2 linked regions of the Rhinolophus ferrumequinum genome follow. The protein of the gene in region 1 binds, or shares a complex with, the protein of each later gene. Links are inferred from orthologs where the notes say so. Each region holds a gene or a part of one and is shown on either strand. Other genes may lie near its edges.

Region 1 (16,721 bases):
TCAACCACTAACAAAGACTTGGTATGTTTCCAACTCTCTAGTCTAATGCAGTGAAAACAAGAGGTTATAAAAAAGAAGTCAGTGCCCTTAATTTCCTCCCTACCTACTTCTTCTAAGAGAACCACCTAATATCACATTTTGGGCCAAACAGATTCATTTTGTGAGTTTGGAATTCTAAGAAAGAAACTATAGATACCCAAACCTGTTCCTCTCCCAGCCTTCCCCTACCCCCCAAGTTGCTCAAACCCAAAAACAAGGAGTTACAATTGATTATTTGTTCCTCATTCCCCACATCTAGTCTATCTAGTCTATCAGAGAGTCCTTCATTTCTAACTCCAAAATACAACTTAAATCTGTTCACTTCTCTCCATCTCCACTGACTCCACCTTCTCTAGTCATGCACTATTACAATAGCCTCCTAACTTGTTTCCCTGCCTTTATTCTTAACCCTCTACAATCTATTTGACCCAAAGCACCCAGAATGATCTTTTAAACATATAAACTGTTGAAAATTCTGCTTAATGACAGCACTCTATAGTCTAACTTAAATCCAAATTCCTTTCCATGGCCTGCATCAATGAACCCCCGCCCATCTCTCTGACCTCATCTCCAACCACTTTCTCTCATTCTGAGGCAAGTTGGTTAGCATGACATCAGGCAGTCAGGAATTCCCTGGTAGAATGAACAAAAACAGTCATACCTTCAAAGCCTTAGCCCTGAAATAACTCACTCCTACCAGAACAGAAACATCAATTACACTCTGAGGCAGCTGGGTTATTTCAAAAGCCTCCTCCAGTCTGAGCCAGAGCAGACCTGATAAGACCGCACCAGTAGACGCCAGCCTTTCTCCTCAGATATACAAGAAAAAGTATAAAAACATAAGCCTTTTGCCTTAGCTAGTGGGCATTCCAGTCAGGTACCCCCTCTTGTTTGAGAGCTGCATCTCTTTGCTTTAATAAACTGTCCTTTTCTGCAATTCCTTGCCTCTCTGGTCCGTGCTTCCATTCTTCGGTTCCGCAGGACGACAATCCCAGCACACGCATAAAGAAATGTTCCTACATCAATTCCACAACCAAGCTACAGTGGCCTCATTTCAATTCCTCCCACACAGCAAACACTTTCCTACCTTCAGGGTCTTTTTATAGCTTTTACCTCTACCTGGAATACTCTTTCTGGCTACTCACATGGATAACTTCTCAACCTCCTATAGCAGCTTAAGTATTACCTTTCCAGAGAAGCTTCCTCCAACTGCCCTATTAAGCAGGTTCCACCATTTTTCTTTTTCAATACCTGCTACTTCTATCCTTCGTAGCTCAAGCTCCAACTAGAGCGTATGTTCTATCAGGGCAAAGATCCCATCCATTTCATTGAACAGTGTTCCCAGCACTGGCATTTAAAGGCTGCTAATTATTAATTACTAAATATATGAACAAATGAGCAAATGAATCAACTCAAGGCTGACAGTCTATCTCTGTTATGAGCAACGAGCAGAGAGTAAAGAGAATCAGTTTTTAGAAAGAAACGGGAGAATGGGGCAACCCAGCGGGAGCAGGAGAGAAAGAGTGGCTCCAGAGAGAAAGTCAAGGAAATTAGCTGTTTTCCTCAAATATATAGAAAGCTCGCCAAAACTACAAAAATAATTTTAACCTGCATTTCTTTCCAATTACAGGACTCTAGGAAACCAAATATCCTAAAAATGAAAAAAAAGATCCAGACAGATAATAGTATTCTATATTTTGAATACAGAAACTACCTCATCCTTAGAATCACATATGCTCAACAACTTCCCCAATTTTATAAGTGTGGGTGTTTGCGTATGTATTTATCAAGATATCAATATTTACATCAATATTTCTGAAATGTCTGAAAAACCTTACTCAATTCCATCTCTTTACTAAACGTTTGATATATTAACAATTCCCTGTAATTTTCATTTTGCTACAAAGTCATTTCTAAAGATATATTCTTTACTATACTTTTAAGAAGTTCAAGGTAATCTACAGTTTAATATTCATGGCGTGCAAACAATGAACTTATTTTTATTATTCACAGGTCTGTTTATATATTTATTACTTTCACTTATTCAATTTGAGACTCTGTAGGAAAAAAAATTGTAATAAGACATTTCAAATATAGAATCTTTGTTCTAAGAGTAAAAATCTTCTTAATTAGAATAAGCCTAACATATGAGGCAATTCAAATAAAATCACAACAAAAAATAAGCTTGGGACAAACAAAAAAGAAAGTTTCTATCAGGTAATATAAATGTTCTCTTTAGAAAAAAAATCTAAAGACCTTTGGTAGTTATAGAGGGTGGATCTGGTAGGGAGTCAGAAATTGAGGTCACCATAATTATAGTTGGATGTTTCCAGGGCATGGGGCTATTCTACACCAGAAGGCAAATAAGCTTTTGCCTCATGGCAACCTTTATGTATTACATTTTCCTTTGTGAACTCTGTCAGACATTATAGGTAATCATTTTGCACTCTTCCATACTTTAATTGGGATATATATAAAGTGTTCAAAATATAGTAGCTTTAAAATGATAGTTTCCTCTCTCCCCTTCACCTCTTCCCCTTTTAGAATCTTAAAGAATATCTCTAGTGCGTGTACAGGTTGTTATAATTACACCACTCTGGATTCCTTTGACAACCCCATCATCAAGCTTTTAACTGTCAGGATGGAATTAGAAATAAAATCAATTTCCTGACTGTCTCTACTACATACAACAATGTTTTTTCAAACATTAATAGGCCATGAAAATAATTTGGTGAATCATGACCAGCAGTTTTTCAATGAAATGAAACAGAACAGAAAATAGAAAACTACCAGAAAACATCGTACATAGTACGTGTCATGAAATTTCTATTTTAGTTTTACATATATGTGGGTCTGCACTGGATCTCTTCATCAATATTAAAAAACAAAAAATTATTTTTTGAAAGCCACTAATGCATAATGGCCTGAAGTGACAGTTCCTCTAGTTCAACACACTTCTTTGAAATCAGAAAAATTAAATTCTAAGCACTTTTTCCCCCTTACAATCCAAACAAGAAGTACTCAATTTAAACCTTTTATTATTAAAGCTTTACTGATACACACTTCTGGAATGACTATTTAAGTTACATCAGAAAAACAAGCTTCAACCTAGATGTGTTTAATAAATGTTTACCTTTTTCTTAGATTTCTAACAAATTCTTCAGTACTAATATATGCCATATTTCAGCCCCTTAAAGACCAGTGGATAAATTAATCATTGCCTAGAGTTGACTGAAGACTGAGTTTCTTTACTGTCTTAATGTGTAACTAGCTTGCACAGGAACTGATCCAGATTTTGTTGTCACATTTCCTCTAAGAAGGAAGAGGCAATTGATTAATCCCGTCTACAGGGCCCAAATCAACTCTAATGAAGTTGGTGCAACCCCAAATTAACCAAGAAATGCCAAAGGAGCATACTCTGTAGGGACCAAGTCATTAATGCAAAAAGATGTTCCTGTTTGCTCAATTCTTTTCCCCTTGGACTAAGGACACCTCCTGCAGTTGCTTGCCTCTAAAGTTAGGAGTTTCCCCAGGGCCTCCTCCTGAGGCTATACTGCTTTTATTTTGTAAGAGTTCTTAGAGTTCAACTTCTCAAAAACAAAGCCCCACTTTGAGAATCTGTCTGATAATAAGCGCACAAGAATATCGCCTTTCTAACATTCCAGGGACACATGAATTAAGACGATAGACGTAAAATGACGTCCACCCCTCTCTCATTGCAGTGTCTTCATGGTTTTGCTAATACCCTACTTATGGACTTTCCTGGCTTGTTGCTGTCTATTTATCTCCACTCCTAATTTCTGGCCTACAGTCAGGGCTATTCATGCTATAGGCTAATGTGGGCTCAATGTGCTGAGCAAAATATGAATACTTTCCACTTTACCATTCTACATCTTCATCCCTTTCCCTTTGCTTTTGCATTCCATAACAATCTATCTTCTGGCTGATCATCCATTCATTCACAGCAACATTTTCCCATAAGAAATGATTGTTTTCTTGCCTTCAGTCTTCATTTATGTGAGTGCACTTTGCAACCCTAATGTTTAGACTTCAATCTTCAATTTTACTTCCTCCAAACTACCTTTTCATACTATAAAAAAATAAAATTTGCCACAGAATTCAACTATAGCTTAAATCAAAGAACTCCTTTCACCTGTCTTGAGAGTAAGCTTCAGTAACTTACTCTCTCATTATCCTTCCAGTGTTTTTCACTGTTTCACACCAACTTTTCCTTCAAATATACCTTAATCAATGTATTTTAAATTTTAAATAACTATTAATCCCATATTCTAATTGAGGAAAGTATATCTCTCCAGCAATGACATTCTATCTTCTCTTTGACAAGTACTGTATATAACTACCTACCCTCATGCACCCAGAGTTCTCCTTGTTGCCCAGCTGTCTATCAGAGACCCATTTCCTTTCCTATGAATGTTACACTTGGTTAAGAGCCCATGTTTTCGCCATTTCCTTTCTACCTGTCAAACTTATCTATTCCGTGGTCATTTTTATCTCAGCTAGAGGTTCCCCTACAAAGGAATTTGATAAACTCAACTTACAAAATGTTAATAATTAATAACCATTTCATGGATTTCCCTTCCCAGAGAGACGTCATTTTAATAAAGTCTCAGACCTCTGTGACAGACCTGTTATGGAAATCAGGAAATCCAAAAGCCATTCTGGTACCTCATGTCAGTGACATGGGTGACCACATCAATTGCTTATGTTTAATACATGACTTGCTGGGAAGACCAAATCAATAATGTGAGGGAAAGAGGAGCCTTACAGATCTAGTCATGACTCTCAGATCTGGCTGCATATTGGAATCTCCCAATTCGCAGAGGAGAAGAATGATTGCCAAAGAAGCAAATTTCAAAGTTAGCACAAAGCTGAGCCTAACACCCAGGCCTAACACTACATCAGATATATATGAACAACATGCTAAAAGTGTAACACAAGTATGAAAATGACAAATACCCAGTTCAAGACAGAAACAACCCTGTGGGGGATGGGGAAGTAATGCAACTGAGAACAGATATACTTAGGGGGCTTCAACCGAATTGGTAATATTTTATTTCTAAAGCTGGGTAGTGATGCGTAAGTATTGATTAAATTAGTCCCCATTCATTATCTTTTGTATGTTTAAAATTTTATAATTAAAAAAGAGCAATATGACCATGGCATATACTCAAGTGAATATCATATTAGGAATACAGGGAAATATCTCAGGCTAGAAAGTACTCAAATAAGATACTTTATGAAGCAGGCCTGGAAAGAAAAATAAAACAACACAGGTTACTAGCAAAAAACAACACAAACTTTTCTAAAGGAAAAGCATGAACAAAGGCAAAGTTTGGAGTACCCACAGCCTACAACCAAAATAAAGAACAAAAGGGAAACTTCAGGACAAACTGATCTTGGAGAATAGTAACACAAGGCTGGAAGTTAAGGCTTGAGATTAAGTGATGGGAGCCTTGGGTACAAAACTGACTAGTGTGCCCCAACCCTCCCCCCCACAAAAAAAAAGGAGTAGCATGAATGAAGTGCTGCTTTAGAAAAATAAATCAGAAGCCATGTGGAGGATGAACTAAAGCAAACATGAATCATTAGGAGGTTCTGTAGGACAGCAAAAGGCGAATAGAAGGAGGCAAGGCCCTGGGGACCAGGTTCTAGTGCCCTGCCCTACTCCACACAGAGCCCTTCTGCTGCTCAAATTTTTGAAAATTGGACTACAGTGCCCAGATGGAAGGCACTGCTATAAATCAAGCGTGAAGGTCATAAAACCCAGCAATATGGAGGGTAGAAGTACTGAAAATCAAAAGGGGGAGAAATGAATCCATATACTTTTTGATGAATAATTTGATAGGATCTAGTGACAACTAGAAGGGATAATGAAAGAGTGGATCTACATGAAAAATCAAAACTACTAACTGAGCAGCAGCCGCTACTCGGACAGACTTGAACATCAGCAACATAAATGTGACCATGTAAAAATGGCTGAGCCTTAAGGAAGTGCTACTCAACACAGAAAGAAAGAAAAGCAAAGGACCATTCTTACAGGGATTAAGTTAACAAGCAAAGGGGACCAGAAAATTGTAGAAAGAGTTGACCACCACATCATGGAATGCTTAGAAAGCAAGCAAGGGTTTCAAAAAGAGGCATCACTGTACACAATGAGAGGGTGCACAGCCTTTGCAGCCAGTCTGGAGATTCTGGCACCTCCTCCACCTGACCAAGTTATTTAACCTCTCTGAGCTTCATTTAATAAGGAAAACATAAACTAACAACATTATAGAGCACATGATAGAGCACTGTGCTAAGTGCTTCTCACATGACCTCATTTACTCCTCACAACACATTCTTACTGATGAAGAGATTAAATTTAGAAGTAGCATAGTAAACTGCTAACCAGGATTCCTATTTCTTAAGACAATAAAATAAAGGAATGTATATATAAAGCTCCTGGCAAACAGTATGATCTCAGAAATGGTAGCTATATTTCATTATTAGAAGGTAATGATTAATAGGGACAATACAAAAACTCACTATCGGTTCTCTCTCTCATAGCCTTCCATGCGGCAAACTCTCTTAGTGTCCTCATCTACAAAATAGGATTAAACGCCTGTAACCTAACATACTCAACAGGGTTGCTATAAGGATTAAATGATATTATGAAAATGAAAATATTATGAAAAAAAATTTAAGAGATATTCAAATATATGGAATTGTCATTTATCTTTTGCTCTGCAAAAATGCCTTCCTGGATTAACATGTGTCTCTTAAAAGAGCTAAAACTAAGTCTGCTAAATGTGTAACCAGTACTTTAAAAAATGTAAGTTACCATGAAATGGTGAAGTATGCCACCCACCCTTCGCCCTGACCCCTCCAGGTTCTCTAATGTACTTGCAAAGGCAGAGGTTCTCTTACATCTATAATGAAACTGTGATAACAGAGTAGAGCTAATCAGAATAGAGGTCTACTTCAATTTAGAGTTGTTCAAGTTGGCCTTAGGGTGTTAGCTTAGAGGTTCCCCTTACAGTACTTCCAAAACAAAAAAGGAAAAAAAAGTTTCCTGTTTTTTTCACTAGTATTAAAACTGAGTGCCCAATCAATACTAGAATTCTGGTACTTTACAAAATGCCAGAGAAGAATCTATCAAGGGCTGTCTGATAGCAGGTCTCTTGGAAACCTCTCTCTCTCTCTCTCTCTCTCTCTCTCTCTCTCTCTCTCTCTCTCTCTCTCTCTCTCTCTCTCACACACACACACACACACACACACCGCCTCCCTTTTCACCTGAACAGATGGTTTCCAGGCCTCAAGGCTCACATATCTAGTCACCCGATTCACAATGGCTCACAAAGTTCCTACCTTTTTAATTATTTCATGTTCTTGAATATACCACTTTCCATCTAAAGATCTCTACGTATCAAAAATCACAAAACTCATCTTCACAACAGCACTATCTGGGAGAGAGATTAATACCCTTATTTTATAAACTAAAACTGAAAAACTGAAGTTAAATGTTTTTTTAATCCAGCATCACTTAGTTGATTGATTCATTTGGGGGTTGGGGGGAAAGCACATTACAAACTTAAGTAAATGAATAGCCTTGATTTAGCTTTCTAAGATCACTTCAAATATTAGCTCAAACTATCTACTGTGTACTCTTACACTTCCAATACATCAAAGATTAAATATAACAGTAAATACCAAAACATCACTATTTTTATATGCTAAAAGAAAAAACAAAAACAAAAGTATATGGGGGAGGGGTTCTAGTTTAAGATTCCTGTCTTGCATCCATAAATACTTCTGAACTTGAGGGGGCTGAGGAACACCTGTCAGTGCGGCATATCCACAAGTTTTACAGGCTGTGTAGCTATGAATATATAATTCCTTAAACTGTAAATAAACCCGCCTTCTCAAAAAAGTAAAAAGGTAATATTATTTTTTAAATTTGACAAGAAAGTCGACATGGTTTTAAGAAGCCCATTAATTTCCTAGTTTTACGTCTCCTTGGCTTCGTGAACTTGCCACGGGGGAAAACTCTGCCCGTCCCGGGAGTCTGGCCGCGGGGAGCCCGGCAATGCCCGACTTTCCACGCGCGCCAGGCCGGGCGCGGGGCAGGCGACGGTCCGTCTCCCCTCTCACCCCCTCGCCCCGCGCAGAGACGCGGCCGGGCACTGGGACCAGCCTCCCGACCCCCGGTAGGCCCGGCTCCGGGCCCGGCAATCCGGGAGGTTGTCACCGTCCGGCCCGGCCTAGCCGCCCCCGCCCTGCGACCGCCGCCTTCCTCCCTCTCCCCGCTCCCCGCGTTTGTTACCTCTTGGGCGCCGGCGGCTGCTCCATGGCGGCCGGGGGCAGAAGGGACCGGGGTGGGCGGCGAAAGCGGGAGGGAGGAAAGAAGCCGAGGCACTGGCCAGCGGAGCCCAGGAACCACACAGGGAAACTCCAGGAACTCGGAACAACTTTCCCGTAACTCCGCGGCGGATCCCCCTCCCGCTCCAGAGTGCGGCTCCTCCCGCACCGCCCCGCCCCTCAGCCGCAGGTCGCGGTCCAGGGAGGGTGGGCGGAGCCAGGCTCTGGGCAACGAGGGCGGATTCGGCGGCGGAGGGAAGAGCTGGCCTTCGTACAGGGAAGGGGAAAAAAATGAGGAGAAATTGAAAGAGCGAGAGAGCAAGGCCTAGTCAGGACCCAGAGCCTCTGTAAGCTGGCCAGGGGTGTATGCGTTTGAGCTGGCACTCCTCACTTGCCCTCATTGTTTTTGCCCCAATTCGATTTGATTCATTTTTCTAGATTTCTCAAGGATACATCTTCTGCAGCTGTTTGAAGTAGCACTAACTGCCCACGCACGCTTCCCTGTCTAGTTCTGTTTATAATTATTCATTATATTTTCCTCCAGCCATTTGACATTTGTAGCTACAGTTAAGGATACTTAGTACTATATCTGGAAATTCTTTTTGATTTTGTGGACAATCTCCTCACTACATTTCACAATAATTATGTCTAATTACAAAGAAAACAATTAGTGCAGTGAGCTCTCTCAGTGCACCAGATTCAATGCGGGCTGTTCAACTGGGTAACCTGGCAAACTGAACAAATTGTGATGCGTAGAAACGTACTCAAGGAAAGTTTGTTTCCTTCCCTCTTGTCACCCTTTCCTTCCGATTTCTTCCCAAAGCACTTATGCCATTGTAATTTGACCCCTTCCTGCATCCCTGTTGTGTGTATACCGGAACCTTAAATTCTGTCTATAAGTATCTTTGTTATGACCACATACAGCTACTATATAATGGCTTTGCTTTTGACAGAAGTTGTCAAGATGTAGTGTCATATAGAGCTTTTGAAGAATAGAACAAAGAATATGAAGAGACTGTTGAATAAAGAAACTTTATGAACATCAACTCAAACTTGTCTATTAATAGTTATTCCTCTTTTTGCATTATTTTGTTTCACAATGTAATAAACTAACATGATTTATTTTCAAACCATTACATTGCCCCCTAAATTTAGTTATTTTAAGTTTGTAAAGACCATTTATTATTGAAACCTAAGCCAAATTCTGTAAACAAGAGAGATTATTGCAGAATTTTATATTATTTTGTTTATTGAAGATCCACAGTCTAACAGTTCAGAAGTAACAGGACCAAAAACTAAGGTATTAAAATGTTAAAGCTAGGAAGAACCTTTGAAATTTCATTATTCTATCTCTCACTCTCATCCTCACTTCTATGCTCTATTCCCATCTTCTTATATTTTGTTAGAAAAATCTTTCAGAGAAGGTCATTTCACCCTTTTAAAAAAATTGTCACATTTTAAAATGGGCTCAAATTTTCATACTTTAAAATGGACTCTTAATTATGTTACCAACCTTAATCTCCAGGAAGCCTTTCCCAGCCAAGCTCACAACATCATCACCCCACTACTTCCGACACTTTGGTGAAAGAGATGCTTCTTATATGTGACTATAACACTGTGCTGGCTTTTTGTATAGTGCTTATTGCACTGTATTGAAGTTCTGTTTATTTGACTGACATCATAACCCAACTGTGAGTCTGCTGGGAAATGGACTATTTCTTTATTTTCTCTGTCCCTTGCATAGCAAGTGCCTTATACATAGTTAGGACACGGGGTTGGATAGCTTCCTTTTGTTCCCCCAAATTCACTCTCCATCCTTTTCCATCAGTTTTCTGTCCTGAAGGCTAACCTGTATGGCTCACATCACTGAGCTCCCGCCCCCTTGATTTATGGTTGTGTCTGATGATGTTACTGGCACAGGGCCCCTTGCCCCTCTCAGAATAGAAATCAAGAGAGTAAGCAAACAGTTTTGCAGAGAGACAAGTTTATCAAAGCAAAAGCTTGATGCACCAAAGGAGCACACTCCAAAAGAGAATGGATGTGGCTTCCCAAGGCTTACAGGAGCTGCAGTTTTATAGGCTCTTGGGTTCAGGGCCACCTCTTCCTCTTTCCCTTCTTCTTCCCCAAAATATACTGAGGCGTGTCCTACACCTCGCCTGTCCAGTGTACCTACTGCAAATTCAGGTGTTGCATGTCTCATTAGCATTTTAAATTCCACTTATGAGAGTGCTTTTTACTATGATGATAAGGAAAAGTTAACTATAGGACAGCTCTTTTAACTAATGCACACGCACAACCTTAGAAACTTTCCCTAGACCCGCTTCTCTCTCCTCAGATTATGGTTCTGTCTGCTCATTGTTTCTTATTGGCCAGGAATGCTGCTCAAGGTTGTTTTCTCCAGCTGCAGGTTCTGGCTACGTGAGTACCCCACTTGACCACTGACCACAGTGAGGGCCACAGGACTATAAGATCAGGCTATTTATTCCCCTGGTATCCTTCCTGTGAGGTAACCTAGGGTGAAACTCTGCTTGCTTCTTCTTGTCTCTTTGGGCTTATAGATGGTGACTATTCTACTATTCCCTGGATTCCTCTTCTATTCCTTATGTTCCCCTATACCTCAAACCTCCTCAAATGACCCTACCTTCAAAAGGGTTTCCTATGGGAACGCTGACTGAGACACCCATAAAGAAGGTTTGTGGAAGGAGGAGGAATAATATCAGAAAAATCTCTAAGGTCTCCCCTCAATTTGAAAGGGAGAGAACTAACAATTATTGTATGACTTTAATAAGATCAGACACTTGGCCTGCATTATCTCATTAAACCCTTAAAACTGCCTCATTAGGTAGTTGTTTTTACTTTACAGGTGAAAAAACTGAGGTTCAAAAGGGTGAAGAGAGTTACTCTAGGCCAAACAGAAAATCTGCACTGTACCCCAGGCCTTTACAACTGCAATACCAAGCCTTATCCCACTGTAAGTCAGTCAGTAAATATTTACTGAATACTTACGCATGCCGTTCTAGGTACTGGGGATTCATCAGAAAAGAAAATAGACAAAAATTCATGCCCTCATGAGGTTTATATTCTGGGTGGGGAAACATAATAAGGTAAATAAGAAACTAATCAATAATATTAGGTACTAAAAACTGGTGAGGAAGAAAAATAAAATATGGAAAGGAAATATAAAGTGGAGGGGAAGGGATGAAATTTAGATAGGGTGGCTAAGGAAGGCCTTAATGAGAGGGCAACTAAAGAAATTCAGGGGAGAGCCATACAGATTGCTTTAAGAAGAGACTGTGAGGCCAAAGGAAGTACTAAGGCCCCAAGGCCAGTGTGCCTGGCATGTCATGCGTTACTGAATAAAAGGAATTGTTTTTTTCCTGAGTTACTCAGAAAAAAAAAAAGGGCTCAAGTCCCTGTTTTAATTTGCCTATAGAAAGCAGCCTGAAGATTCCAAGAAACAAAGCATAGACATCCTCATTCAACCTACGAATAAGAGGCAGCAAGCCTTCATGAACACATGAAAGCTATAGGAAAATTTGAGATTCAGATAAGGGTCACTCAGCTTCACTTAACTGTGAAAGTAGGGTAATCTGTTTCTGCTTCCAACTGTTCCAATTAGAATCAAGATTAAGTACACGCTTTAATTATACTAGAAAACAGCTCACCAGAATTCTCAACTGAGTGCTCCAAGAGAAATTTGAGAAAAATCTGCAATTTGGGACCCAGTTCCTTTTGAATAACAAAAATGCATTCGTTGTCACAGAATACATACATCACCATGTTTTATGAGGAGAAATATATTAAGATAAAATAAGTTTTTCCTTGTTATACTAGTTGCTGCTGTTTATTAAAACTACATGTTTCTGGGTGGCTGGGTGGCTCAGGTCGTTGTAGCGCTGTGCTCCTAACACCGAGGTGGCCGGTTTGATTCCCACATGGGCCAGTAAGCTCCACCCTCTACAGCTAGATTGTGAACAATGGCTCCACCTGGAGCTGGACTGCCATGGGCAGCTGTGAGTGGCCATGAGCTGCTGTGAGCAGCCAGTCGGCAGCCAGCCGGCAGCCAGCGACCGGCTGGCTCAGCCAGGTAGAACACAATGCTCATAACACCAACATGGGCCAGTGAACTGCGTCCTCCCCAATTAGACTGAGAACAATGGCCCCAATCGAAGTTGGGAGGGGAGGGGGGGAAGGGGAAAAAAAGCAAAACTACTTTTTTTCTTATTTTTAAATTTGAACAATAATACTAATTAACAACTGTCAATCTTTTCTACTATTACCAGGAAGCGTTTGGGACAAAGAGAAAACTCTGGTCTAATATATTACACTATGTGACTTTATTTCCAGAGAAATTCAGAACTATTCCTTTCAACGGTGAGTTTACAAAGCATTTTCTCTAGATTGGTTTCTTTTTTCCAACATAATTTTATAGTTAGCCTGAAATTGGCATATTGCTTTTGAATTCAACCACTATCCTCTTTTATCATAGCAATTTAAAAGTTGTATTTTACTTATTTGTTTCCCTAACAAAACTGTAAGCTTCTTAGCAATAAGGATAGTATCTTAGTCATATTTGTCATCACAAAAGTCTTGCATATCAGTTAACTACAAGTAACAACTCAAAATGATTTTTAAAACAAGAAGCCTAGAAGTGGTGTTTGTAGGTTTGATTCTTTGATTTGCTTTCATTTCCTGCTCTACTGTGCACAGCAGGTTCTCTTCATGCTATCTCCCTATCCTCAAACAATGACCACCAAAGTTCCAGGCATCACATGGAGACATGAGAATGTCCAGCAACAGAAGAGGGTTATTTTTTTATGAATGCTACCATTTAAGATGGTGGGGAAAACGATTCTAAAAGACTTCTGCAGGTGACCGTTCATATCCTATTGTCCAGAACTATGTCACAGACCCATCTCTGAAAAAGGAAATGGTGTCACAAAAACCTGCTTAAACCAATTGTGATTTACCACCATGGAGTTGGGCTTGAAGTTGAGGCTGAGACCAGCATTCCCTGAAGTATATGGCCAGGAGAAGCATGAGAGAAGGACAAAATTAAAATCTACTATTAAGAAATAATGGAAAAATTGTTATTAGGCAACAGCCTATAATGTCTGCTAAATATATGTACCTAGAATATTACAGTCATTGAATAAATGTTTGTTGAATGAATGAATGGATTTCCATACAAAGAAAACATCAAGACATTTAGAAACATAGATAATTCATAAACTACATGTTAAGTGAAAGTGAGTGTACCATTGGTCATTTGCCATTTATTTTCTCTCAGTTCCAAATTCATCCTTCATTGCCTGCTCTGTTTAAATGGAGCTAGGTCCTCCAAGCTGAACAGAAATTCTATAACAAGGGACATACAGAAGAAGAAACGTTGAAACTAGTAGGAGAGTCAGAGATGTGGAACAGGTTGGTCCCACACCCACCTGTGGCAGTTAAAAATCGGGATGGATATCTCGGCTACAGAGGTCACTTCTGAGAAAAGAGGGGCCCCAGCCATACACCAGGCTTCCCAATCCAGGGTTCCAGTGCCAGGAAGAGAAGTCCCCACAACTTCTAGCTGTGAAAACAGCAGAGATGGTGGCTAAGTGAGACAGAGGGTGGCTAGAGTCCCAGATATTCCTCTAAAATGGTCCACGCATGCACTTACCTGCTGACTGACTCACTCGCTCAGAGATCTAGCACTAGAGCATCAGCTCAAAAGGTGCCAGGGACATATTGAGAATAAATGAATTGTCTGGTTTCAAGGTGAGAGCTGGAGAAGCAGCTTTCTTCCAGACAGAAGTGCTGCTGGAAGGCATTGTTCTTTTGCTAAGCCTCCCCTACTCCCAGCATGCAGATGTAACCTAGTGCCATATCTGAGTCTCCATCAACCTGGCTAATACTCTTCATCCCACCCTGGTGATTCCCTGAGACCTTGCCCCACCCAACTTGTATGTCCACTGAAACAGATTTCAGTGGGTTATTCATAAAAATGGCCTGTCTTGGCTCATGCTTCAAACTTCCCTGAAATCTCTCAAAGGTTCACAAACCCCAAACAAGGAACATCTGGCCTAGGCATGCCCTGTACCACTTACTAGGCAGCCCCAAGCCTGGAACTAGCGGCAGTTGAACTTGGTTTGAACCTTAGCCTCTCCCAGGCACCTTCAAGTCCAGCTCGGTTTGCTTTGGAGCCCAGACAGCCATCTGCAGATTGCTTTGTGGTTCATTCTGAGCGGCCTCAAGGAGGCCACACACTGCAGCTGAACTTGGTGAGGCCACTCCCAGGAAGCCCTGTGGCTGGCACACCAAGTGGCTGGCTCTGGACTGCACTGGAACACCATCTTGCTGTCTGTCGTGAGGGGTGTCAGGCGGGGTATCCGGTCCCACTCCCCACACAAAAACTCAGGACATGGTGAGGCCAAAAAGGAACACCCACGGAGCCATAGGTAGGGGAGTCATACCACTATACTCTCACTGGCGGCTGGGTTGGAGACACAGGAACCAGGAGCAACACAATTCTCAACCCTCACTGCGCCGTTTGCAGACTCAGCACCATCTTCTTGCTAGCTCCCCCTTTTTTTTTTCGCTAGCGTAGCCACAGCAGTTATATTCGTGACCAATGGCTCACTGGTTACAGCTGACGGCCAACTAGCCACAGCTGCTGGCCATTTGATCACAGTCGATGGCCATTTACTACCTGAGCCAGCACCTTTCTATGTGAGGCCGAGAGCCTGGAAACTGCTTTTTGGGGCTCTGTCCCCACACTGTCTCTGAGGACAACACAACCCAAGGGCAGACTGTGAAAGTACCAGATACCTGCTAAAGTGAATCCTGCTCCACAGGGTCAGCCCCTGCACAACAGCTGCTCCAGTGTAGTCATGCCCAGTCCTCACAACCAATCTGCCCAAGGGTCAATCCCTCCTATTAATGTGCAAACAGCCACCAAGCCTCAACTACAACAGGGGGGCACACACAATCCACACAAGGGACACACTTGGAGCACCCAGCTAAGGTGACCAGGGAGACTGAGCTACTGGGCCCCCAGAACACCTACTACATAAGGTCACTCTACTAAGACCAGGAGACATAGCATCTCTACCTAATACATAAACACAAACGCAGGGAAGCATCCAAAATGGAGAGACAAAGAAACATGTCCCACATGAAAGAACAGAACAAAACTCCAGAAAAAGAACTAAACAAAATGGAGATAAGCAACCTATCAGAAACAGAGTTCCAAACAGTGGTTATAAGGGTGCTCAATGATCTCAGAAAGAACTTCAACAAAGAGATAGGAAACATAGAAATGGAGAAAGAAAACATAGAGAAGAACCTGCCAGAAATGAAGAATATAATAAATAAAATAAAGAATACATTAGAGGGAATCAATAGTGATAAGATGAAGCAGAGGGTCAAATCAGTGATTTGGAAGATAAGGTAGCAGAAAACACCCAATTAGAATAACAACAAAAAAGAGTCCAAAAAAATGAAGATAGTGTAAGGGACCTTGGGGACAACATCAAAAATACCAACATTCGCATCATAGGTGTACAAAAGGAGAAGAAAAAGAAAAAGGAATTGAAAACCTATTTGAAGAAATAATGATGGAAAATTTCCTTAACCTGGCAAAGGAAATAGACATATAAGCAAGGACATAGACATGTAATAGGAAATAGACATGTAAGCACAGAGTCCTGCATAAGATGAACTCAAACCCACACCAAGACACATTATAATTAAAATGCCAAAGCTTAAAGACAAAGAAAGAATCTTAAAAAGCAGCAAGAGAAAAGCAGTTAGCTACCTATAAGGGAGCTCCCATTAGACTGTTAGATGATTTCTCAACAGAAACTACCGGCCAGAAGGGATTGGCATGAAATATTCAAAGTGATGAAAAGCAAGGACCTACAACTAAGATTGCTTACTCAGCAAAGTTATCATATAGAATCAAAGGACAGATAAAGAGCTTCCCAGACAAGAAAAAGCTAAAGGAATTCATAACCACAAAACCAGTATTACAAGAAATGTTAAAGGTTGTGCTCGCTTCAGCAGCACATATACAAGAAATGTTAAAGGGACTTCTTTGACAACAAGAAGAAAAAAGATCAAAAATATGAATAATAAAATGGCAATAACTATATATCTATCAACCATTACTTTAAATGTAAATGGATTAAATGCTCCAATCAAAAGATAGGGTGGCTGAATGGATAAGAAAACAAGACCCTTATGTATACTCCCTACCAGAGACTCATTTCAGATCCAAAGACACACACAGACTGAAAATTAAAGGGATGGAAAAAGATATTTCATGAAAATGGAAATGA
Region 2 (15,877 bases), on another chromosome or scaffold:
GGAGAGTAAATATGACCTAGCCCACTGCGGCCACAGGTGAGTGACATACTTGGCTACCTGCCCGCCACCCCGGGACACACAGGAATGAACAGACTACACTTCCCCACACCACCCTTCCTACAAACCCTCAGCACAATGTCAGATCACACTTGTCCCCCTGACGCTCTCAATGGGGCCAGGGCAATAGGTGTGGGGAGGACAATCCTGAAGAGAATCTGGGACCTTTTACAATAACCAGGGGTCACCAGATCCCTCAGCCAAAACAGGGTATTCTCCACAGGGAGACTGGGCACATGCTACCAGGCCAGGAAAGACTCCTTCCCCTCCAAAAAGGGCAATATAAAAACCAAACATCACATCTTTTCTTACGGGTGCACGTCTCAAGAACTTTCTCTATGCCAGGAACCACAGGCAGGCTAGAACAGACCCCACCTGAAGTTGCCAGCCACTATGGCCAAAGACCAAACCATGCTCTGCCTATGTCTCCTCAGCATGGAGTGTGGAGTGTTTCAAAGAACACCCAAATATCACCTCCTCAGGTCTGAGTCATAATAGTCTTGACTTTGAGGGCAGGTCTCCCCATGACAACTCCCTAGCACCAATTTTATTCCACTTAAGCCAGTGCCTCCAGGGACTGCCCGGTCTGACATCATCACTTTGGCCTCCTCGCTCTGTCCCCAAGCCTAAGTTGGCTCAGCATCCCTCCCAACACCAAGATCTGGCCCCAAACATGTGGAGAGACGTTTGCCAAAACTCTTGGAAAAAACTGAAAGTGACTAAATGTACAACCATCTCCGCAGTCAGGGCTGGCCTTGCTAGCATCAGCTGCTGCCAGCACTTCCCGAGCCTGCCAGGGGAAAGCCGGACCGAGCCCCGCAGGAGGGGTGGGTGGCCAAGGTCAGCAGAGGAGGCAGGAGGCCATCTGGAAAGGCAGAAAGCATCCTGCCACCAGCACAGGCCGGACCTGCCAGCATGCTGAGGAGACCACACCAGGGGGTGCTGATTGAGGCATGGGTGGGGCGTCAGGGGGAATGATCTCTTTACATGCTTTGCACACCCACAAATACTCACCCACCAAAGAATAGTCACCTCCTCACCCAAGGAATGCAAACAAGAAGGGCCTCCCATGAGGCCAGAGATGTGTTTACAGCTCCCTCACCAGCCTTAATGGTATCCTGGGCAGGGCAAGAGTGCCCAGCAGCTCCTTCCATGAGGAAACTGAGGAATGAGGGAGGGTGTGGGGAGCCAAAGAGGGCCCCATGGGACAGCAGTTGGGGGGCTGTCTCTGATACAGAGGTGCTGGGCACAGACCAAAGGAGGGAAATGGCTTGATAGCCACAGATGTCCCCAAGGCCTTCCAGGCCAGTCTGGTTCGCCCTAATCCTACCCTGCCCCTAGGCAGGTGGACTGACGACTCCCACCCACATGAGACCTCAGCAGAGGCCTCTCCAAGTTCTGACCTCAGGAAGCTATTCCAAGGATGTATGGCAGGAACAATGAAAACACTTTGGGCTCTTCAGAGAAAAGGCACAATTGACCTGCAAAGAATTCTTCCGGTGTCATTCTCCCAGTGGGCTGGGCCTGCCATGAGCCTCAGCCACCCCTCTAGAGCCTTTGGCGCATGCCCAGGGCAGGTGAGTCACTTCACCAGCCAGTCAGGGCCCTTGGGGCTGAGTTGGGGGCTGTCCTTCCCCTGTCACTCAGGGCCTAGCTGCCAGTCTTGTCATAGGCTGATTCACTGGTAAACTTGGGGAGAAGAGAGAGGATCCCAGACCAAACCCTCAGTATAGAGGGGAGATGTCAATTCATGTCCACCTAATAACTTGCAGGATCAGCAGGCGAACACACACGTTCATGACCAAGTCTAATTAGGCTGGCAGACAAGTGGCATTAATCATTTTTGACTGTACCTGGGATTCAAGCCCCTCTCACTCCATAATCAGAAAATTTCATGCTCTGATGATAAAGCCTACATTTAATCCTTTCACTTTCATCTTTTGAGAAGACAGGAAGCGGGGAGGAGAGGAAACAGGCACCGCTTAGGGACCTCAGAGGGACTCTCTCAGCATTCCAGGTCTTTTCTCTGTCCCTCCACACTCCACTAGGATCTTTCTCAAGAAGAAGACACCAGTTAGAGTCGGGGGCAGGAGAGGGACGGGAAGTCGCAGATTCCACCATCTGTAACAACACAGCATTCCTCTCAGGGCTTCATTTTCCTAACATCCAAAGCCAAACATGGGTCTGAGTCTATGAAAATACTTCAAGCCACACACCTCAGCACTGGTGGATGCATTGGACAAGTAAAATATCATCCAAGTGCCCAGGGTTCCTGTACAGGGAGACTCACGTCAATGTCCCAGTAACCTCTTCTACAAAGAACCCACGACAAGGTGTGGGCCTGCATGACCTGACGACGGCTGTCACACGGGTGGTTCCAGTCTGCAGAGAGAGGCGGGTTAAGCCCAGCCATTCATGCAGTGACAAGGCAGGGCTGGAAAGGCTAGACAAGGGGCCCTGTGAGACACCAGCCTCATTCACCAAGAAAGTCCCCCTCCCCACCCCTGAGGACCATGGCAAATGCCTCATACTCACACCATAACTAATGTGTATCACAGGAAGGGTAAGTTAGGATGATAAGCCCCAGGGCCCCCCTTTCAACCCTATAATTCCAATCACTTCACACTTCATAGCTCTGAACAACGCCCCTTCCAGAGAGACAGGCTCCGGGAGCAGATGCATGGCACTCACTGGCAATATGCAAGGTACGTCCAAGCAATCCTCTTGGTTGAGTGGGACTTAGGTTTCCCCATTTTCCAGATCAGTCTCTGGTCCAGGAAGGCTTACACATCCACCAAAATGAGGTGAAAAGTCAAATGTCAACCTAATGTGCCTTCTACAGAGAAAAGGGTCTATGATAAGGGATATTCCCTGAGAACAAAGCTGAAAGACAGTTGCTGAGGTTCTCATGTTGACCATTCCCTCCTGGAGTGCTGGAAATGGATATTCTCACCCCTGCCACTGCCCCCACCCCAAAACACACGCACACATTCACACAACCACCTCTCTCTCTCTCTCTCTCTCTCTCTCTCTCTCTCTCTCTCTCTCTCCCCTCCCACCAATCCTCATTGGATTTCCTTCTCTATCTAACAAACACGATTCCTTCGATCCTGGAAATTAATATTAACCCTGAACCGCCCTGTTGGCAAATCCAGCATTAACCAGAGCTCAGATACAGACCTTGAAGCAGGGGTAAGCTTAAATTAGAGTAACTTTCACTAAAAAGGCAGGCAGTTTTCTAAAAGCTTCCCTTATTAAAAGCCCATTTTGCCAACAGGGCTCCCACCAGTGTCAGCCTCCTGCTCAGACAGATGTCATTCACATACCCACTGCCCTTCTGCTTGCTTCCAAGAGCAAGGAGCTTTAATAGTAATAAGCTGCCGCCTTCGTCAGCCACTCCTTACTGAGCGTGTGGTCTACGATACAAAGACAAGGTGCCAGCATCCTGGTGACCACTAAGCCACTGACGTTCTGTGAGGATGCTCCTCAGCCAGCAGGCAGAGTGACCGTGTCTAGAGGACACTGATACCTGCACTTCCGGGGATACTAATGGCACGCGCTACCCCACTTAGCTAAGCAGCCAGACAGCATCTGAAAACTGCACGCATTGCTTGGGAAGGTGATCCTAAGAAGTGTCCCAAACCCAGACAAACTGTCACAACTGTTGAGTGGGAGGGGATAATAGTAACATTCACATTGCATTAAACATTCATATTGCATTTTTTAGGCACTGTTCTAAGTGCTTTATATATATCAATTCATTTCATTCTGACAGTAACATGATGAAATAGGTAATGTTATCTTCCCCATTTTTTAAAACAAGGAATCGGAACACAGAGATTCCCAGGGGCACATTGAGACTTGGTGGCAGAGTTCACACCCTGGATGCACACCCTGGTCTTCTGCTTCCAGGCTGTGCTCTTAATCATTGCATACTGCTGCCTTTTACAAGTCGTACTTCAGACCCTTGCTTTTTAGAACAAAGATAAAATAAACCAACCCTGCCATGGAATTAGACCTTCAGTTTAAAGAAAGATGCTCAGTGAGTTCGGCTTGCTGTGTCTCCACCTACCCGTCCTCATTTTCACATCAGAATATTTCTTAACTGTTCCCATCCAGTCGCAGGCCCACAATTAAATATCTGTAATGACAAACAGAGACTCCTCTCCATAGCCCCTTGATTCCAGCTCTGCTCTCTCTCTCTCTGGTGTTCAGATATCCCTGGTTGGTATTAAACCTATGCAAGTGCCACCAAGTCACACAAAGTCAGAGGAAATGTCCATGCACCTGGGTCTTCCTGCCATGAGAAACTATTTATGAACCAATCGAAGGAAATAAAGTTTAATGTGAAGTTAACATCAATTCATTTAGTCATAGAGTATCATGCATATGCACATACAAACACACACAAATACACTGTTACCACCACCCCCCCAATCATAAAACTATGCAAAATGTTCAACAACTGATATAGTCCCCAAACATCTTAATACAAAATAAAATTCCAGTGAAGCAGATTCCCGGGAATCCCACACAATAAAACCCATTACAGTGAGGATACTGCCTCTGTGTCGACAGGGTTGGTGATCATAGTAAAGTACTCCAAGAGCCTTGAAAAGGCCAAAGCTGCCAACACATCCGCGGGCATTCAATTCTACGGGAAGGTCAGGGGCATTTACCAGTGATAACAGCCCTCCACCCACATACACACCTCTACAACTTTTGCTCTTTCCTTTTTAATCGGCATCTGAACTGTGAGTTCTGGTGTTGGAGGGACTAGCACCCCCTTCCCCCTCCAATCTTCCCCTTCCATTTAACCCTGGCTTAGATTCTGAGCTCTCTTCCCCTGCCGCCAGCTGCAATGGGAGGCATACTGTACAGCCTCAGCTGTGGACCGGCTGCAGAGAGGCAAGGTAGGGTTTTCCTGACGTGGAAGTAGCTGGTGCTGTCCAATGGTGCAGCTAGATGGGAGATCATGGGGGAAGGGCCCTTGCTGAAAGATGCAAACCACAATCCATTTCCAGAGATGCTTGCTAGAGTTATTCCATTGTCTGTGCTTTGTGCCTCAGATATTTTAAATACATATATAAACACATAAACACATGGATATCCTCTGCCAAACATGGGCAACAGCAAAAATGGGGGGATGGAGGTGGGGAGAGGACACCCATGAAAAAAACACACACATCTAAAACTGTAGGAAGAGAAAAATAATAAACTCCCAAGAATATTGCAGATTGGCTCAGAAAATCTGCACGCTTGGTGCCTAGTGTTTTCTAGTCAGATTTGAGAAGAGCCTGACTCAGGAGGAGGCCAGAGGGGCTTGAGAGCTCTGGGGATGAAGGGACCAGGCCAGAGTTGGGTAATTTTAGAGCATGATGACAGATGCAGTTACATAGGAGGAAGAAGAGGAGGTAGCAGGGCAGAGTCAAACATTAGAGCAGAGTCCAAAGGTTTGAGGGGCCAGAGGTAGAAAGCAGGAGGGGGCACAGGTCCAGGGTGACCTCCGACTCTCTTCAGCCTCACAGCTGTTTCTATCCAAAGCCTAACCAGGTCTCCTTCCTGTCCCAACAGGGCCCCCTGGAGGATGTACCATACAGGGACATGTACCATGGGCCTCCTATACCATAGATGAACAAACATGCCATTTTGTCATTAACCCTTAATAAGCACGGGTCAAATCGCCAACTCAATACCAGTTTCACTCTCACAACTCTTTCTCAAGAACCTACAACAAAAGCAAGAGGGTGCTCAGGAGACAACGGAATGACCTTGCGTCTTCCACCATCAACCCCAACCTGCGTGTCTGTGTGTGTGTGTGTGCGTGTGTGTGTATACACGTGTGTATCTGGGGGGGGATAGGTATGCACCCGTCAGGAGAAGGTATTTACTAAATACCGCAGAACCAAATCTGGGCAGTAGGCAGTCACTAAAAGATACCCGACAGCGGACTAAGAAGCAGTCTCCAGGGCTTATCTCCCTTAAAGTTGAGGAATCCCCTGGAGCCAGGGAGCGCAATGCCCTCTCCCGGTCCCAGCCGCTCGCCCATTGACTGCGGTCTTCCCGCGCGCCCCTCCCCTTGCCCACCGTCATACTCACTAGCGCAGCGCAGCGCCTGCTGCAGCACTTCTTGGCCGCACAGGTCACACCAGCCTCTGCCGCTCCGCAGCGCCAGTTGCGCGAAGCAGTGCCCCTCGCCTCGCTCCGCCGGGACGCGGGGATCCTGCGGCTGCTCGAAGATGCTCCGCACATCGCGGGGTCGGGGCGCTCCAGGCCGCCGCCGCAGTCTCTGCTGCAGACCAGGCCGGAGAGGGCGAGCGGGGCGGGAGGCTCGGGGTGGGGGCTCCGGGTCCCCTCGGGCAGCCCTTCGGGCGCTGCGCCCCTCGTGCGCCCCGGGCGCAGTGGAGAGGGGCGCGGGGGCACAGCGGCACGAGGACCGGCCGGGAGGCGGCGGCGGCGGCGGCTCCGGGCCGCTCAGGCTCTGCAGATAGCGCGGCGGTTCTGGGTCCAAGAGCAGCCGGTACGGGCGTTGCCCGATGGCCGGGGACGCCATGGCCATGCCAGGCACGCGGCGGCGGCGTTACTCCCGAGTCCTCCTCGAGAGGAGGGCGGCCCCAGACCAGCGGCCTTTAAAGGGACCGCAGGCTGCGGGGCGGGGCGGGGGCGGGGAGACTCCGGAGAGGCAGGAAGGACGACCCCAGGGAACCGCGGACCAACCAAGCCGCAGGGTTGGCAGTGGGGGGTGCCCGAGTGGGTGTGGATTTCGGGGCGTCTTCAGGAAGCGGACTGGTCAGCTGGAGCAACTGGAGGATTTCGTATGGGAAAGACTCTATTCGGTACAACTCAGATGAAGCATTTCTGTAGAGGGCCGTCTGCCTTCAGCCCGCCTCTATCCCTCTCCCGTCATTTCCCCGCACACCATTCACCCCCACCCGCACCCCAACACGCCCAGGTGAGAGGGCGGGCGGAAGGAAGGGCTTGGGAGCTAGCAGGGAATGGAGTCTAACGAGAAGTCCATGGCTAGGTAGGTGTCCGCCCGCCACGCTCCCTGTTTCCAGCGGACCGGAGGGATGTGCTCCTTTGCTCTTTCTCCCTCCCACTCTGCCCCCTGCCCCCCCCGCCCCCCCCGCCCCCGGCGAGCCAAGCCCCGCGGTAGTCGGAAATGCTGGGCTCTCTCTCTCACTCCCACAGCCGCGCGGAGTCCGGTGATGCGGGGGAACGCGCCGGGGGCGGAGGGGACGCTGCAGATGCTGACCCCAAGAAGCTGTCCCCCGCGGCGGGCGAGGCTATCCGCGTGCGACTTTCACTCTCCGTGGATTTCCCCTCTATTAGCTGCCCTGCCGGTAGGATATTCCTTGCCCAGAAGAGTGAGGTTAGGGTAACCACGGGCCCTGGATTGTGAGAACACTCTAGCGGCCCGTGGGTTGGGAGAGCTTTACTTCCAAAACCAAACCCTCCTGTCCTCCGCTGTTATAATTACTGTGGAAATACCAGCCCCGCACCCCCCTCACACACACCAAAGCCCTACTTTGTATCTGATATTGACAGCTCACCTGTGGGACCCAAGTACAGATCCCTTTGCTACCAGCATCACGACCATCTCCGTCACCCCCCCCCACTTTAATGCTCTGCTGTCACGGTCCTGATAGCCTTAATAATTTTTTAACAAAGGGCCCACAAATTATATAGCGGGTCCTGATTATCTCTCATAGGTGAGGAAACGGAACTCCTGGATCTTGGAACTTGTGTCTTGACATAGACCAGTTGTATGACCCTGGGCCCTCTTTACCTCTATGGTTTTAACTGTAAATTAGTCTGGGAGTGAGGGGACAGGTGTATGCTTTTGTAGTCCTTACCAGCTCCACCACGCTGACTCAGTGATCACTGCCTGTCCTCTTAAAACTCGGGTAGGGGTTGGTTGGTTTATCAGAAGTCACCAGAAACCAATTTTAGGAATAGTCTAAATTCTTCTAGCTCTCAGACTCCTCCTCTTCCCAGGCTAGAGATGGGTCTCCCCCTAGTGTCTGATGGGGGGAATCTCCACCTTTGCTTTTCATTTTCCCCTCGGAGTAATTTTTAGGTAATTCCTAGCAATTCTAGTCTAGTGGCCAGGGAATTCCCAGCCTGCTTTGGTCCATGGCTTCTCCCTCAGGGCAGGGATGATCATAGAGTCCTCTGCGTTTGTAGCAGAGGACATGTTGCAGGGTCCCTGGATCTCACCAGAGGCTGGAAATTCTCACCTCATGATGTGGTTTCTGGGTAGGTGGGAAGAATGACCCACAGCAACAAACACCACAGAGCTACAAAGAGGAGTTGAGATGAAGAATTGTGAGCCACCAGCCACCCCCTTCTCCCCTACTCCACCTTTCCTCTCCCCTGTCTGAAATTTGCTTTCTCTTCATCAGCGGTTTTCAAACTTTGGCATGCATGGCAATCACCCGGAGGGCTTGTTAAATCACAGATTAGTGCACCACCACCACCACCACCACCCCCATACACACACAGAGTTTCTGAGTCAGTGTGTCTGGGGCAGAGGTTTGATATTTTACATTTTTAACAAGTGCCCAGGTGGTACTGATGCTGCTGTTCCAGGAACCCCACTGCTCCAGATCTAAGATGGTGATAAGAGAATGGGTTTCTCCATCCTTTTCCCCACAGGGCAGGTGAAGTGCAGTGGGACATGACTGAGCAAAACCCAATGGGAGGGCTATTCTGGAATGCTTTCAGCTGAATGTTTAAAAAGGAAAGTACAGTTCGCCTTTGTGCTCTCTTATTCCCATCTCTCCCACTTTTTTCTGCAAGCTGGCTCTCAGGGTTATGCAGAAACCTGTACTGCATATAAATATTTGCTTGTTTCCACCCTGTGTTATCTATCCATCTCCACCAACTTGAGACTCGTTCTGGAGCTCACTCCCACCCAGGAGTGAGTGAGGTTTAGGGTGTGGACCGAGTGTGAGCTCTGGGTGCCAGCTTGGTGTGGCAAGAAGAGGGGACCTGGCAAAGAGTTCATTACTGGGAGGCAGTTTTGAAATGCCATTTGTGAAAAAATTGCCAGCAATCACATCTATGCTCTTTACCACCACCCCCCACCACCCCCCAAGCATGAGTTTGGTCAACTCAGGCCAGATTCCCAGGATAGAGAGGCTCATTGAATGAGTGTCTCCTCTGGCCCTGGAAGACTGAAGACTATATGGAATAATCAGGCATAACAAAACAAACAAACAAAAAAACCCTTCCCCCTTGCCTGAGCTGTACAGAAAAATGCCCTGGTTTCTGTTTTCCTGAGGCAGCTCTGCAGCAGGAGAAGTGGGTGCTGGCTGCTCTCAGCACTAAGTGGGGGAGGATACCCCCACTATGCAGGCCCAGAGCCATACATTTAGCTTCTGGAGGGGACAGAGATGAAAATGGAGATAGCATAACTTCATGTAACCAATCCAAAAGTTTATCAAGTTTATCTTAAGGTTCATCTCCCTGAGCCAAGAAATTGAGGTCTGGAGAGGTAGTTGCCTTGCCCGAACCCAGCAGAAGCCTCCCTGCCTATGACTTGCTCCTCTGATGCCATCTTTCCCAACACAGTCCAGTCCTGTCCCTTCTTCCTTGAAAGAACATCCCCTCCCTCCCACGCGTGCACACAAGGACGCATCTCATTCCTTAGTACTCCCAAGGGAAGCACAAACGACTATGTAAACTCTGTTTTCATTGTAGGGTCAGGGCAATGTCTGATGCTTGAACTTCAGCATTGTTTGGCTCAGTCTTTGTCATGCAGGCTACACGGGTAAGACCACAGCATCAGCAGGGGAGACACCTCCACTGTGAGCTTTTCCCTATGTTAGCAGATCCTCGTGGCCCAGAGCCATTGACTTTTTCTGTTTGTGACTCACTCCCTGAGGAGTGGGTGTGCTGTTTTTACTTTTGACGGGGGAAGCATTATGATAGTGAGTTTGAGTTGTGTGGTCAGTGTGTGAAGTCATTTCCGAGGTGGTCCCCGAGAGTGTCGGTTCCCCCACTGGGTGAGTTGTTTCAAGGCTGCCCCCCAACCCCCTACTGAGCTTCCTAGTAGGAAGGAAAAGGGAAGGACACAAGTGCCCTGACTTTCTGAAGGGGAAGTTTTTGGTTTTGTTTGGCTTTGAGGCATTTGAAGTCTCCTGAAATCCCCGAAGCGTTTAGGGAGCTCCCAGTGACTCTGACAGCTCTGCTCTCTGCATAGGATCACGGCACCTGTCAGGACAGGTTAGGTTACGCTGCGGTAATAATCAACCCCCAAATCTCCGTGCCTTTAAACCAGAGACTTTTTCTCTCACATAACCTTTATGTTTGGCAGGGGGGCTCTGTTCATCAAAACTACTCAGGGACCTCATCTAATGTTGCCAGTCACCATGCCAGAGGGAAGTCGAGAGAGCCCGGAGGGTCCTCCACCAGACTTTAAAAGCGCCAGTCACTTCTGCTCACAACTCATTGGCCAGAACTGGTTACACAGCCCACCCTACACAAGGGAGCAAGAAGTGCAACCCTACCGTGTGCTCAGAATGGGAAAAGAGCTCATCACTACCACAGTCTCCAAAGGCACAGAGCAGCTATTTATTTAACAAGCAATTATTAAATATCCATGATATATCAGGTGCTGTTCTGGGCACTAAAAGTACAGTGGTGACATAGACATGTTCCTGAAGCTTACATTTTAGTGGGAAGGCCAGAAAATAAACATACAAACATAAGTGTAATACAATGTCAGGTTATAAGTGTTATGATGAAAAATGACGCACATTATGGGAATAGAAAGTGACAGGGGCTGATATTAGATTGGGTGGTCTCTGAGGAGCAGACATTTAAATATAGACCTGAATGGAGAAAGCCCTGTGTCTCTGAGCAAGGGTGGTACAGACTGAGGCAACAAGAGGCAGCCCTCCACCCCCACTTTCCCAAACTTTATGAGTATGAGTTTGTTCCAAACCCCAAACCCCACCTCCAGAGATTGATTCAGTAAGTCTGGATATTGTCCTGTATTTTATAAGAGAGTTTGATTAACGTGACTCACAGACCATGCTTTGAAAATGTGACCAAGGCAGTAGGTTGTGTGATGTGGGATTGTGTGACCGCTCCAGAGACATTTGAGAGAAAACACTCTGACCCTTGTTAATTGCAGGATTCTAGCTCTCCGAGCTACTTCCTTCCCTTCTTGGGCAGCTTGTCCCACACAGAGCTCAGCCTCCCAAGGAAGTGGATGTTGTTTGCAATGTGTAATTAGGGTCAGTAATACCTTCCATTGCTAGACTATGAGCAGGGACCATGACAAAACGTTGTCAGGGAATTAAAATGTTTGTGAAAGTCCCTTGAAAATCCTCATGTTATACGTATTTACTCAAGAAATGCACATCGAACACCTATAATGTGGCAGGCACTCATGGCTTGAATGACTTCATCTTCATGGCCACTCTGTGAAATGGCTGGTACTCCTATCTTACAGATGAGAAAAAGGAAGCTCAGAGAAGTCATGTGACTGGCCCAAAAACGTGTCACAGTCTGGACTCAAATCCATGATTTTGCCTTTGCACTGCCCGGCTGATGTGGTAAAAGCGACAGTGTTTAAAAATCTCTGATCTCTCTTTGTAGGTGCAGTTTAAAGATCAGCAAAATCTTGCTCCATTTTTCTTTCCCTATCAAATCCTGTTTGACTTTGAAGGTCTAGTCCAAGTGCCAGGTCTTCCACAGAGCCTTCCCAAGTCACCGAGAACTAATTCATCATTCTTTCCTCTGGGCTGTCATTGTCGCTTGTGTCTCTAATATTACATCCTAACATGAATCACAATTAAAATTTGACATTTCTGCCTCCCTCACTTGGGTCTTGTTGGTCTTTCTGATCACACTACGCAGGGCAAATAGGAGATGTTCCTTAAATGTTTAATGAATGAACGCTGCTGTAGCTCCCCACCTGTACCTAATCCAGGACTTAACTCTTTTTTTTTTAATTGGGGAATATTGGGAAACAGTATGTTTTTCTAGGGCCCATGAGCTCCAAGTCAAGTCGTTGTCCTTCCATATAGTTGTGGAGGGCGCAGATCACAACTAGAACACTGAGGCAGAGTTTGCGACGTCCTGCAGAGAACATGTGAATGGCCCAGCATGGGCAGATCCACTGAAATAGGCACTGTCCCCCCTTACAGCTGAGGCAGAGAAGCCATTCTAACGGTTCACAGGCCCATGTGGGAATTCAACCGGCAACCCTGTTAAGAGCTGGTGCTCTAACCAATAAGAGCTCGTGCTCTAACCAATTGAGCCATCCAGCTGCCCAGGACTTAACTCTTAACATCCCTTTAAGCCATGGCATCTGTGTGAGGGGTGGGGTGGAGGGAGATGAAGGAATTGTCTGATCTAGGGAGAGTAGAAGGTGCTAAAGAACTGCTGGGCCTGGGTGGAAGTGGGGATGGTACTGAAAACTCCAGTTAAGACTCATGTACATGCTCCAAAGTTGCTGGTCGCTGGGGTGGTCCTGACTCTAGGTGCTAGTAACTGGCCAGGGGTGAGGGCTGGTAGGTCACCATTCCCACTACAGGGGACGGGGCTTTCTTTGTGTCACCAAACTCGAGCGCTCCCATGGGGATCATGTAGGTCTTTGACAGTGCTTGGGGACAAGAAGGGCAAACCAGGGTGGGAATGTGAGCAGGCTTTGGAGGGCTCCATGTTGGGTGAGAGTGGGTGGGGCTTGTTTTCAAGCAGCTCAGTGGCGCCTCCTCTGTCTCAGTTATGGAATTTTCCCATGCCAGGCCACTATGCCAGGCTTATGATAAGAATTATTTGTGTGTGTATGTTTCTTATTTCTGTGTTGGAAAAACTCAGATATTCCGTGCACTTTCGTCAGCAGCTTTTTCTCCTCAGGCAGAGGGAAGCCTCCAAGCCACAGCCACTTACATTCCAGCACTAATCCAGCTCTGGGCTCGTCGCTGTGGCAGGAAGCCATGGACTGGGATTGTGACAGGCCAGCAGGAGAAGAGTGGCCTGGATGACCTCATAGGCTATCCCTGCTCCCACCCAGTCCACCACACACACCCCTCTCTCTCCTCTGTGTCTGTCTTATTCCTCTCATTTCTGCTCCTTCTCCCCATCATTCTTTCTCCCTTTCCTTCTCCTTCCCTCCTAATCCCTTGCCCTCCCCACCCCTCCATTTCTCTCCATTCTTCTCTCCTTCCTTCCCATCCTCTCTCCTTTCCTCACTCCCTGCCTCTCTGTCTGGCAAAGGGTACAAGGAAAGGACCCAACTGTTTCAAGTGCCTGCTGTAATTCTGAGCTTCCAAGAAAAATAGAACTGAAGCTACTTGGGGTCATCCTGGCCATCCCTTATCACCTCCCATTGGGGTTGCCTGATTCAGGATCCTTTGTAAGATGGAGGGCAAAGACTCCAGGAGTCCCACCCTTCACAAAATCATGGAAGCAGTTTGGAAGTGATCCCCAAATGACCAGTGCTGGGAATCCTTTGAGCTCTCCCCTGCTAACGTGAGGCAGGCCCATGAGAGCAAATGGTGGGTCCAGCAGGAAAGTGGGCAGGCCATTGTGGAGCTCTACCCTGTCCATTAGAATGGCTTCTCTGCCTCAGCTGTTGGGGGGGGGGGGGCAGTGCCTATTTCAGTGGACCTGCCCATGCTGGGCCATTCACATGTCCTCTGCAGGACAGCTGCAAACTCTGCCTCAGCGTTCTCAGACTTTGGCTTGTGTAAGAATCACAGCGTGATGAGGGGGGAAGCTCATCAACAATGCAGGATCCTGGGCCACACCCTTATCGACTGGACTCAGGCGGTGTGTGGGGTCCCAGAATCTGTGTTTTGAACCTGGACACCAGCTTATAAAGTGGAAACTACGTGGATTCTGAGACAGACAGAGATACAGCCCTGCAGTATCAGAGTGCGAGAGCAGCACCAGGCCCTCCAGAGCTGGCTGCACATCCTGCCTGCAAACTGGGACATGTCCCCCATCTCCTTCCAGTTAGGCCCCCTTCAACTTGAGCCAGCCTGTTTTAAGAGGCCACGAATCTGACTGCTGGGTGGACACTTCCCAGATATTTGTGACTGATCTGAGCCACTGACAGCCGCTCTGAGATGAGAGCTTGTGTTTCTTCACCCACCTGGTATGGGGGGGCCTCATAGCCGAGGGGGGTGGCGTGGGGAGGGTGGGCAGAGAGCTCACATTGTGTTTCAGGCACTCTGTGGAAATATCTAATCTATTCCTACCCATAAAAAGATGTATCTTTAAAATACCAGTTGGACTTGACCTAAACCTGTTTCTATGGATCCCTGGGGAAAAACCCAAGTTCCTTAGTGTGGCCTGTGAGGACCTTTGGGTCTGGCTCCTCCCTTTCCTCAGCATCTACTTCCTACTTCTATTAGGTTGGTGCAAAAGTAATTGCGGTTTAAAAGGTTAAAAATAATTGCAAAACCCGCAATTACTTTTGCACCACCTTAATACTTACTCTCCAGTGACACGAATACTTGTGATTCTTTCCGCGCCGAGGCTGGTGCTGTTCCCACTGCTGGGGATGCCTTCCATGCCTTCTTTCCTAGGTAACTCAGCTGATCTGCCAAGCCCCCACCCTGGAGTCACCTGCTCCCCAACTCCGTCCCCAACACCCTCTCAGACTAAACCAAGCACCCTGCCCTGTGGTGGTGGTGACAGTGAAATGACACTGCACTCGAGCTGTGCATTCTCATCACAGCCCCCTCCTTGTGAAACTGAAATGCCTGCCTCCCCCGAGGGAGCTCCTCAGGGGCAGGCAATGCGTCTTAGTCACTTGGTTCACTGCAGGTACTTACTTCACGTCTGAGGAACTGAACAGTCTCTTCTTTTGAAGTGTTACGTTAGGAATCACCACAGAGAACAGTGAGGGAAGTTTAAGAGGTCTTCAGGTACCTGAGGATCTTACAAGGTTCTTCTGGCCATGGGCCTTGGTCCAGTTGCTTACTCCCTGCTGAGATGGAATCAGAAGCTCTGCAGAACTTTAGGTGGGTGGAAGCACCCACGCCAGTGGCTCTGCCCAACACAGGAACAAACTGAAGCCTTTGAGTATGTCCCCTGATAGGCTTTGCTCATGAGATCATAGAGCCTGGATCATATCGTCCCGCAACAATCTGCACTTGGCTTTCAGGGATCCCCTGGCTCTCTTGCTGAGCTCCACCAAACACGTGGGGTCCAGAGGCAGCCACAGCTGCCAGGGAAAACCCACTGTGGGATTTCCCTGCAGAGCCATTAAAGAGCCAGAAGAGCCTGAACTCATGCTGGCAGAGCCGACCGTAGGTGGCCCAGTGAACAGAGGCAGCAGTTGGCTCCTGGGGCCCCAGAATCAGAACCCAGTAGGCTTAAGTGACCCATGGGTATGAGGCCCAAATGGCATATATGAAGCCACTTAGGCCTGATGCAAATAACGCCCCAGCAACCCTCCCCTAGATCTTTAGAGATTGCTTGTCTTTCCGTAGAGAAGCTGCATGGAGGATGTCAGATGCCAGGACCAAGCTTGCCTCCCTTCTGTCCCGACAGGTCAAGCAGAGGGGCCTCTGAGGACATGGAGACAACAGGAAGTTAGGCAGGAAGGATTTCTGGGGTTATGCGTAATATTGCCTTCATGCTTTAAAGCATCAAGTAGGGCTTCTCATTGGTCTCCTTCCCCTATTGGGGCTACTTTACTGCATACCCTGTCCCCTAATCCGTCTAGGCTATGTGGATAGTCCAGCTCTGGTTAAAGGACCCTGGAGGCACTGGAGGGGAAAGATTAAATTTAAAGATTAAAGATTAAATTTGCACAAATTTGAATGCCTTACCCAGGTACCATTCTACTTCT

What was found.
Region 2: the proteins of STK3 (region 1) and RASSF5 are in contact, whole or in part, in a crystal structure (PDB 4LGD), measured with the Homo sapiens proteins. The link is inferred for Rhinolophus ferrumequinum from reciprocal best matches to the Homo sapiens genes STK3 and RASSF5. Residues at the interface, in NP_006272.2 of Homo sapiens: Phe437, Phe439, Leu440, Leu445, Leu448, Gln449, Arg451, Leu452, Leu455, Asp456, Met458, Met459, Glu462, Ile463, Leu466, Arg467, Tyr470, Lys473, Arg474, Pro476, Ile477, Leu478, Ala480, Met481, Lys484, Gln488; in NP_872604.1 of Homo sapiens: Trp369, Asp370, Ala371, Phe372, Ile374, Leu377, Gln378, Phe380, Leu381, Leu384, Glu385, Glu387, Glu388, Lys391, Ile392, Val395, Gln396, Lys398, Tyr399, Phe402, Arg403, Lys405, Leu406, Ala409, Leu410, Ser413.

The regions. Positions count from the first base shown.
Region 1 is NC_046297.1:40,654,667-40,671,387, forward strand, and holds the start of STK3 (serine/threonine-protein kinase 3), read right to left. Parts: upstream 8,555-16,721; 5' UTR 8,389-8,554; coding exon 8,363-8,388; intron 1-8,362. UniProt on the Homo sapiens protein: Stress-activated, pro-apoptotic kinase which, following caspase-cleavage, enters the nucleus and induces chromatin condensation followed by internucleosomal DNA fragmentation.
Region 2 is NC_046305.1:24,873,179-24,889,055, forward strand, and holds the start of RASSF5 (ras association domain-containing protein 5), read right to left. Parts: upstream 6,641-15,877; 5' UTR 6,617-6,640; coding exon 6,157-6,616; intron 1-6,156. UniProt on the Homo sapiens protein: Potential tumor suppressor. Seems to be involved in lymphocyte adhesion by linking RAP1A activation upon T-cell receptor or chemokine stimulation to integrin activation.